Linked DNA regions of Drosophila melanogaster. The protein of the gene in region 1 interacts with the protein of each later gene in a pairwise test. Each region holds a gene or a part of one and is shown in the gene's direction. Other genes may lie near its edges.

Region 1 (4,157 bases):
ATCTTACATAGAATATATTTATTTGTTATGGTTTCAGCATCTTGGCAACTCTACACCAAGCAGCTGTTATCTGCAGACCTGCCAGATCAGCAAAAAGCAGCTGACTGTTACGTTAACAACCACATTTTATGTTTTTGTTTACTAAAACAACTTTAGTTAATACTCCGACGGGATGACTTAAAGTGGATGCCCCAACATCATTTCTAGGACATGGCAGCGGAATTGGGTCTGGAATCGGCCGCGGGGTCCGTGGCAATCAAAATGCAAGAGCCGGTCAATAAATTAAAATTTTTCCATGCACTTGTTGTAAGTAGATGAAAATTAAATGAAAAGTTAGTTCTTAAATAATTAGTTTTAGGCAGGAGGAGTGGCTGGAATGGTAGTGGACATAGCGCTGTTTCCCATAGATACAGTGAAGACCCGACTGCAAAGCGAGCTGGGCTTTTGGCGGGCAGGAGGATTCAGGGGCATCTACAAAGGACTCGCTCCTGCGGCTGCAGGAAGTGCTCCCACGGCGGCCCTGTTTTTCTGCACCTACGAGTGCGGAAAGCAGTTCCTTAGTTCGGTCACCCAAACCAAAGATTCACCCTATGTTCACATGGCAGCGGCTTCAGCAGCAGAAGTGGTAGGATTTCATATAAAACTGAGCACCTCGTATTTAGATCTGAAGAATCTCTGTATCCAATAGTTGGCATGCTTGATCCGAGTTCCCGTGGAGATTGCCAAGCAACGCTCCCAAACATTGCAGGGCAACAAACAGTCCGGCCTGCAAATTCTACTGCGTGCCTATCGCACTGAGGGATTGAAACGTGGTCTGTACAGGGGATTTGGTTCCACTATCATGCGGGAGATTCCATTTAGTCTGATACAGTTTCCGCTCTGGGAGTACTTTAAGCTGCAATGGACTCCCCTGACCGGCTTCGATTCCACTCCTTTTTCGGTGGCTCTTTGTGGAGCTGTCGCTGGAGGCATTTCAGCGGGATTAACTACGCCGCTCGATGTGGTCAAAACCCGAATTATGCTGGCTGAAAGGGAGAGTCTCAACCGACGTCGCAGTGCCCGAAGAATTTTGCATGGCATTTACCTGGAGCGAGGCTTCAGCGGGTAATTATTTCCATATTAGACGCAACTCAAGCTGGTCCTAATATTTAAACACAAATTAACTTTACAAAACTATTTATTACATTTATTAATGTACTTCGATGTTACTTTTCAGTCTGTTTGCTGGCTTTGTGCCGCGTGTGCTGTGGATCACACTGGGCGGTGCATTCTTCTTTGGCTTCTACGACCTGACGACGCGAATCCTTGGCGCCACCAGTACGGATCATTAAAATTAGGGTTATTTTCGTTGTACTTGTAGTAGAGGCACGTAGTTTGCAGTAGTAACTAAACCGATGACAACCACCGTTTGAAGACAACGTGGACAATAAAGTGTATGGAAGACTTTTGAGATTCACTAGGCATTGGAGGCGTTATTCGCTCCCTGTGGAAGAAAAAGGGCTGTGATTGTATTGGGACATTGTCACGAGCTCACTGACATCCTGAATGTGGAGGCGACCAGTGAGGAGAGTAGCAGTAGTCCTTTGATCTCCCAGTTCATCTCCGCAGTCCATGGGCACATCGGAATCCTCCTCATCCACATTGATGTATCCACTTCGCGGAGCCTTCCTGCTCTTTAGGCAATCCCAGGAATTCCGACAGCGACTACGTGACATGGCGTAGACCTGTGTACACCCAAATGCATAAATTAAACAAATGTACATCCACTTAAACAAACAGACTGTGGCGATAACGCACCAGTGCAGCCAGAACGAAAATGCCAACGAGCACGGAAATTGGCAGCCATATGTATTGACCGTCGTCCGGATGCAGTATGTCCGGTTCAGGACTAATGGTCGTCTGAGGCTCAAGTAACTTCATCGTTTTCAGGGGATGTACAAAGAAATCACAACAACTACGAAGCAAAAAGTTCTCAAAAATTTCAGCGCTCCCAAGTGCTGCCAGACCTCTCGTGAAATAGGTGGCAACCCTAGCACAGCTATGTTTAGTTTTTCTTCACATTTATGGCTAAGAGCGGGGATTTTCAACTGTAAACAAAGAAGTATTTATTAGGTAATCTGAGTAATCTTTTCAATTTGATCAAAATAAGCTTTGCACAGATGGATCCCCAAACATCAAAAGTATGCCAAACGCTTAATTTTACAATAGCAAGGCGAACTGCAGAAGCTCCCGTGAAGCTTGTATCCCATGAAGTCTCACTTTCAGACAGTACTACTTCTTTGGAGCTGAGCAATTGCTGCCGCTTGTGTTTGGAGGAGCCGTATCCCAACCAAATGCTGGACATGACCGTCATCTATGACCAGGAGGCGGCGCTGAGTTACTACGACTGCTACGAGATCTGCACCAAGGAAGACCTGCGGCAAAATCCCAAAAACGAGCCACGAACCTTGTGCAAACGTTGTGCGGTGGAACTGAAATGGGCCTACGACTTCCACAAGAAAATGGCCATTGCCAATCAGCAGTTGAGGGAGATATTTGTGGCAACCGAAGCCAACACGGAACAGGAAGACGACGTGGAGGATGAGGAGAATGAGGCGGATATGAATGAAGAGTTCCTGATGGAAGAGATTGAGGAGAAGCAGGAAACCCCTATCGACAGCTTAGAGGACATTGTGCCACGCAATCGGCATACGGGAAAATCCAACTGCAAGTTCTGCCACAAGGAGTTCAGGAACCATTCCCGCATGGCCAAGCACCAGATGATTCATTTGGCCAATCGTCCCAACTTTCGTTGCAGCCAGTGCGACCGGGTTTACCTCACAAAGCAGGCGCTGAAAGTTCACGTCGATTCGAAGCACAGGCAGTCTGGAGTCCACTGCGACACATGCGGCAAGGTTTTTGCCATTGCCAAAGCCCTGGAGATTCATAAACGCTATCATAACAGAGACTTTCCCTATTCCTGTGATCTCTGTGATCGTCGTTTCGCACAGCGATCCCATTTGACTGTCCACCAGCAGGTTAAGCACTCTGGATCTCGCTTCATTTGCGAGTTTCCCGGCTGCCAGAAGTCCTTTACCTCATCTTCATCTCTCAGGAATCACGAGTGCACGCATACGGCCATGCCATTTGAGTGCGCCCACTGCCATCAGAGCTATCCAGCTCGTAACAAGTTAGTTATTTTGTTTAAAGTGTACATTATTTGAAAGTAACACTCCTTAATAATTTTTTAGACTACGCATGCACCTGGAGCGTAAGCATAACATGGTGGTGCAGATGGAGGACCTGGAGGAAATGCGAAAGTTTCACATCGTGCGCTCCAAGTTGGTAATGGCAAAGATTTACTCGGACCAGAAAGAATCACACCATGCCAAAAATGATAGCGCTGCTATTTCTAAATAAAAAGTATTTAAAACTATTACCAAAACTTAGATAATAGCTTAATCTTACACTAACTCGCATCCCATTTTAAATTCCGTAAAATTGCCTTACAAATATCACATTCAATTTATTTCACACTTTCATTTGGTTATCTTACACGGACAGGGATAGATATTCACATACATATATAGATTTTCGATATCATAGACAAAATAAATGCTGCTAAATCTGGTGGTATACAAGTTCGATCTGCGCCACAAGAATCCTTCAGTTCGACAGCGTTAGGACCTAATGGCATCTCATCGCGGCTTTGGCAAAGATCGTGAAGTCATCCGGATGCTGAGAGGATCCAGTTGCCGTGCCCGTCGTTGTGGTGGCCACATTTCCATTGCCAGCCTCCGCTCGCTTTCTAGAAGTTATCTTCTTCCAGCCGCGAAGGAAGATTTGATTTCGGTACTTGGGCGTGGTGAAGGTGTACAAGAGAGGATTAACCGCCGAGTTAAGTGGCAGCACAAAGACCACCAACCAGGCGTAGATGTCATCGGAGATATTGTAGTTGAAAAAAACCCAGATCTTCATAACGATGATGGGCACCCAGCACAGGAAGTCGGTCAGCACGATGAAAAAGAATCGCACAGCGAATTCGCAATCCAACAGAGTGAGCGGAGTGGCGCTCCTCGTTCGCCATATCGAAATAAGGAGTGCCGTGTAGAGCATCGCAATCATCACCAGCAGCAGCAGATTGACGCCCAGGAACACGAAAGCCGAGTAAAGCCAGC
Region 2 (4,955 bases), on another chromosome or scaffold:
TAAAGTAACCATTGAGAACCAGGCTCATCACCGTTTCGAACTGGCCCTGCAGGAGTCCAAGGTGGATGCCGTCAACTGTGTAGTTTGCGAAAAGGCCGTCGTTGCCGGTTCGCCGTTCTGGAAATGCAAGGAGTGCAAAGATGTTACGCATCGCAAGTGTCGCTCCAATGTTCAGAGCCATTGCGGATCCACCAAGCCGACTGCACCGTCAGCCGATGATCTTAGCAGTATTCAATCTGTCTCCAGCTTGACTTTGGATAGCGTAGATGTTGCGGGTGGTACAACCAGCGGTGGCGAGTACATTGGATCGCTGGTCTACAGTTCGGATGGTGCAGAAGATCAGGCACGGAAGGAGATCGAAGTGAACTGCGCCTTTGAAGTGGCCGAGCAGCAAATACTCCTATTGGGCTGTAACACGGGACTGTATGCGTATCACTTGGACTCGCAGCGATTGGTGCACATTTCTGGTCTCGAATCGGTGAGCTGCATGTCCATTTGCAAGCGCCTGGCTAAGGCTATAATGGTGGGCACAGTTGGCGAGAAGCTATATCAATGTGACTACCGCCAGCTGGAGTCACGCTGTCAGAGCTCCAGTTCGTGTCACAAGCCTGTGCTGGAAACGTCGGCCATTGAGCTGCCATTTGCCAATCGCACGCCATCGGAGAAATGGAAACTAGTGCTGATCTCCGATGAGGCGGAGAACGCATTGGATTCGGTGGCTATTGCGGCCACGTCCACTAGGATTGTCATCTTGAAGTACGACCTTAAGCTGCACATGTTTAAGCCAGTTCGAGCCTTGGACACGGCCACGCCGGTCACATCCATATTCTTTACGCGTCACTCGGCCATTGTTAGCTCGGATAAGTTCTACGAGATCGATTTGGACAACTATGCGGCTGAGGAGTTTGTGGATCTGTCCGATAAGTCAATGGAGAGCACTGCCAAGTGCCAGCCCCTAACTGCGGTGCGCATCTCACGACAAGAGTATCTGCTCTGCTTTGCCGAATATGGCGTCTTTGTGGACGAGTTTGGCTGCAGATCCAGGCCGTACGATTTGAACTGGGTCTATGCACCCACTGGATTTGTTTACCGCGATCCATTCCTATTCATATCGCACTATCAAAGCGTGCAGATAGTCCGTTTGCATCGGTCGTTCAGCAAGGAAATGGCCAGCGGGGATAACGCATCGGAGAATTCGGAATCCCCGGAACTGCAGCGCGTCTACTTGCCCCACTACATGTCCACGCTGCTGGCCAACAGCGGAGATGTCAATCTCTATGCCGTGGCCATCGATCAGAGGCCCTGCAATGGAACACAGAAGATCTACCATCTGGACACGATGCAGGCATTCAAGCAGAAGTTCAATATCTCCATGGAAACGCTGTCTTCAGTGGCCACTTCTGTGACTTTGGGCTCGACTGTCACCGGAAATAGCATATAGATGAAGGATATATATTAACTAAACGAATGGACAAAGCAAAATACTACAAACTGAGTAGTTGTAGTTATATCTAGGGTTAGGATATGCTATACATTTGGATTATTATTATTTTAACTTGTCAGAACATATGTTTTTTCACAATCTTTTTCATGTGTAACGATTGCCTAAAATCACATGGCAGAATCTTTTAAAAATTACTTAATTTACTCTTTAAATACTTTGTGCTGTATACACAAATAAAACTTGAGATTTTGATAAAAAAGGTAATTCATATTAAATTAATATATTTATTTTGATCACTAAAATATCGAAGCATATTAAAGGAAATATTTTTTAATTAATTAAAGAAGTCGCATAATATTTTAAATCAATTTTACTATGCAGGATAGCTTTTCGAATAGAATAGTTGGGGGCATGGAGTCGACGCCAAGCTTTTGGGGCTGATCCCACGCAGCTTTTCGGCAGCAGCTTTCAATGTCCCGCAATTCGAAAGCCCCGGAAATGGAATCGTGCTCTCCGCTGGCATTACTGCCATCGTTGGCTTGGCCGCTGGACGCCGGACTGCTGCACTGCCGCCGTCGCAGATTGTGTTAATTGATTTCAATTGGCTCCACGCCATTTGAGTGGCCCGTTGAATCTCCCGACGATGCCAGCAACGATGTTTGATTCCCAGCTGAGTTTGTGCGCGGGTCGCATTGTCGCCGATTCCACCACCACCACTACCTCCGGCATGGATGGATGCGATGGTGCCAAGACGATGATATGCCGCGCTTGTCTTGTGCTACTGGGTCCGCAGGATGCGTGTCACAATCTGGACAGCGAACAGGATCTGGCCAGCAAGTACTACGGCTGTACTGGAGAGGATGCCGTTAGGGATTTGCCACCCCAGTTGGTGCTGAAAAGCATCTGCGAGTGCTGCTATCAGTTGGTGCAAAAGTTCCACGACTTTCAACGCATGTGCGCAGAGTCCTTGCGCAATTTTGAGAAGCTGCTGCAGGACATCGACATCGGATGCCACAAACTGGAGGACCACACTTGGCACGACTTGGACACCCCCTCGGAGAGCAACGAGTCCACTAATCCGGAAGCCCAGTCGCACGCACCCTGCATCGCAGCGACGCAGGAGATTGTGAGTTTTATCTGGCCACAAGTGTGCCTGCCTCTGGCCGTAATCTTATCTAGAATCACATTGGGTGCTTCGCTCGAGGTGTGTTGCCTAGCAGCCAAGCAAAGACAATACTGCTCCCCATTCCCCGCCATAAACAAAAACATTTCGACAGCGTTTGTTTGTGTTGTACTATTTTTGTTTGGTGGGTGATAGCACTCGAAAAGGAGGCACGTCCCAATCTATTGGGTATTTTTAAATTTTCCACTAATAAAATTGGGAAGATGGCAACACGCCTCGATTTATGGCTCCTCCAAATAAGAAAGTCGATTTTAAAGGCCAGTTTTATCTAGAATAGATAAATGTGTTCCCTAACTTTCACTCATTTTAGATATTATTTATAGCGCCTTTAATATTTTTAGCATTAAAAAACTAAACTAAACAGATAAGTGACCGCCAAAAGTTCGGTTCACAAAATATTACTTTCATTTTATCATCTTCTAAGTCGAGCGATAAGATAATCTTAATAGCAAATTAAGGAAAAATTTCCACTTTAAAGTAATGAGTAAACATAATGTAATTCCTACCCTTACTACAAATTACTTAACTCAACCAAAAGCAGTTTGTTTTTATATGCTTAGACCCTTTTTACATAAAAAATTCCTTCATAATAGATATGTACAGAATTCCCACAAAAAAAAAAAAAAACCACCACCATTCAGTTTGCTATGGTAATTAAATATATAATACCCTAAATTTTCCAGGAGGAAGTCTACGTAATAGAGGACGAGTCAGCCAAACAGGATCTGGGCCAGGAGAAGCTATCCATTTCTAGCAAGTTGCTGGGTGCCAGAAAACGACGAGGAGTGCGACACACCCTCGAGTGCCGAATTTGCCACCGTGGCTTCTACAAACCGTCGCTGCTGGAGGCCCATATGCAGCAGCATGAGGGTCTGAGACCGTATACCTGCGTCCATTGTGCCAAGAGCTATGCCCGGGCCAATCTGCTGGAGTCGCACCTGCGGCAGATGCATAACAATGCCGACGCTGCGCGGATCATCTATGCCTGTCCGAGCTGCAACAAGGTGTACACAGCGAACCGAAGTCTCAAATATCACATGAGAAGGACGCACGAAAGGTATCACGAGTCAGAGTCCCCGGATGCGCGGCACATTTGTGAGGAGTGTGGCAAGTGCTTTGCGCGAAAGGCACATCTAACGCGCCACAAGATGGTCCATGGTAGCGTTGAGGGTCGGAGATACTGCTGCGAATGCTGCGATCGCAGATTCTACACCAAGGAGAACATGGTGGATCATCTGCTGCGCAAGCACGGCAATAAGAATCTGCTGCTCAGATGCAGAAAATGCGGACGCATTTTCCAGAACAGCGTGGAGCTCAACGCTCACGGGAGGAAACACAAAGCGATGGATGTAGTTCAATAATTCGTTTTATTTGTGGTTTCAATAACATCAAGCTAACACAACTGTTACAATGATTCGAATTACTTGGAATTTTGTTATGCCAGTATTGTGGGAGAATGCCGCATAATTGGAGATACTAAGACGACGCGAATGGTTGACGAATCGATGAGGCTGCCCTAAAATTAGCTAACATTCACATAATGGCCGGCGCAGCAGCATAGTCGCTTAAAAATCATCAGTACAAAAAAATGGCGATGGCGATGGCGCGCACTCGCAGTAGTTCTCAAAAAAGTAATCATGCGTATATAAAACAATTAACTAAAATTTATCCTTAAGCTTAAAGAACGGATGACAGTTTTAAAATTACATTACCAATACATTCATTTATCATTAATTTGTAGGGAGGAGGAAAGAAATGAGAATAAAAACCAGATTATCCGTCAATCGATCGACAATTACATAAGAAACGCACGGGGTCTTTTGCCAAATGAACTATCAGCATTGAACGTTGTTGAAATTGATCTGGTGATCCACTTAACTGATGGTACTGTGTTACGGTGGTGATTGATGATTGGTTTGTTGGTTGGCAGTAGGTCTTCGGATGAGTGGAGTTGCTTGCACTATATGTAAATAAATACGCCGCAATATGAGCATAGGATATATGACAACGAATTGCCAAACTCTAGGTGTCCTTGTGCTTCTCGTAGAAGGCGTCTAGATATTTTTTGTACTCCTTTTGGTCATTCCACATCATCGCGGCCTGCGCATTCAGTGGACTCTCGTTGTTCGGTTCGCCCAGCAGGGATTGTATGGACAGCAGAATGGTGCGCACATCGTACAGGGCCGACCATTTGTCCTTCAGTATGTCCAAACAGATGGCGCCCTGCAGATCAACATTGGGATGGAAGCAGGACGTCAGGAACTTCACCACGGGTGCTGCATACGGATAGGAATTGGGAAAATCCAGTGACAAACGATACGTTTGCCC

Evidence for each region. The genes of interacting proteins can lie anywhere in the genome.
Region 2: the proteins of CG4730 (region 1) and CG10654 interact in a two-hybrid assay, tested with the Drosophila melanogaster proteins (2 studies listed by BioGRID).

Annotation. Positions count from the first base shown.
Region 1 is NT_033777.3:25,676,540-25,680,696, reverse strand, and holds CG4730 (uncharacterized protein), read left to right. Parts: upstream 1-2,014; 5' UTR 2,015-2,101; exon of another isoform or gene 2,102-2,112; intron 2,113-2,149; exon of another isoform or gene 2,150-2,159; coding exon 2,160-3,169; intron 3,170-3,230; coding exon 3,231-3,399; 3' UTR 3,400-3,625; downstream 3,626-4,157. Other genes in the region: CG4743 (uncharacterized protein), read left to right, coding at 211-306, 359-625, 689-1,104, 1,217-1,331; CG5039 (uncharacterized protein), read right to left, coding at 1,457-1,483, 1,539-1,724, 1,798-1,920; Lgr3 (Leucine-rich repeat-containing G protein-coupled receptor 3), read right to left, coding at 3,667-4,157.
Region 2 is NT_037436.4:12,504,843-12,509,797, reverse strand, and holds CG10654 (uncharacterized protein), read left to right. Parts: upstream 1-1,957; 5' UTR 1,958-2,087; coding exon 2,088-2,648; intron 2,649-3,310; coding exon 3,311-3,988; 3' UTR 3,989-4,424; downstream 4,425-4,955. Other genes in the region: sti (sticky), read left to right, coding at 1-1,441; vih (vihar), read right to left, coding at 4,650-4,955.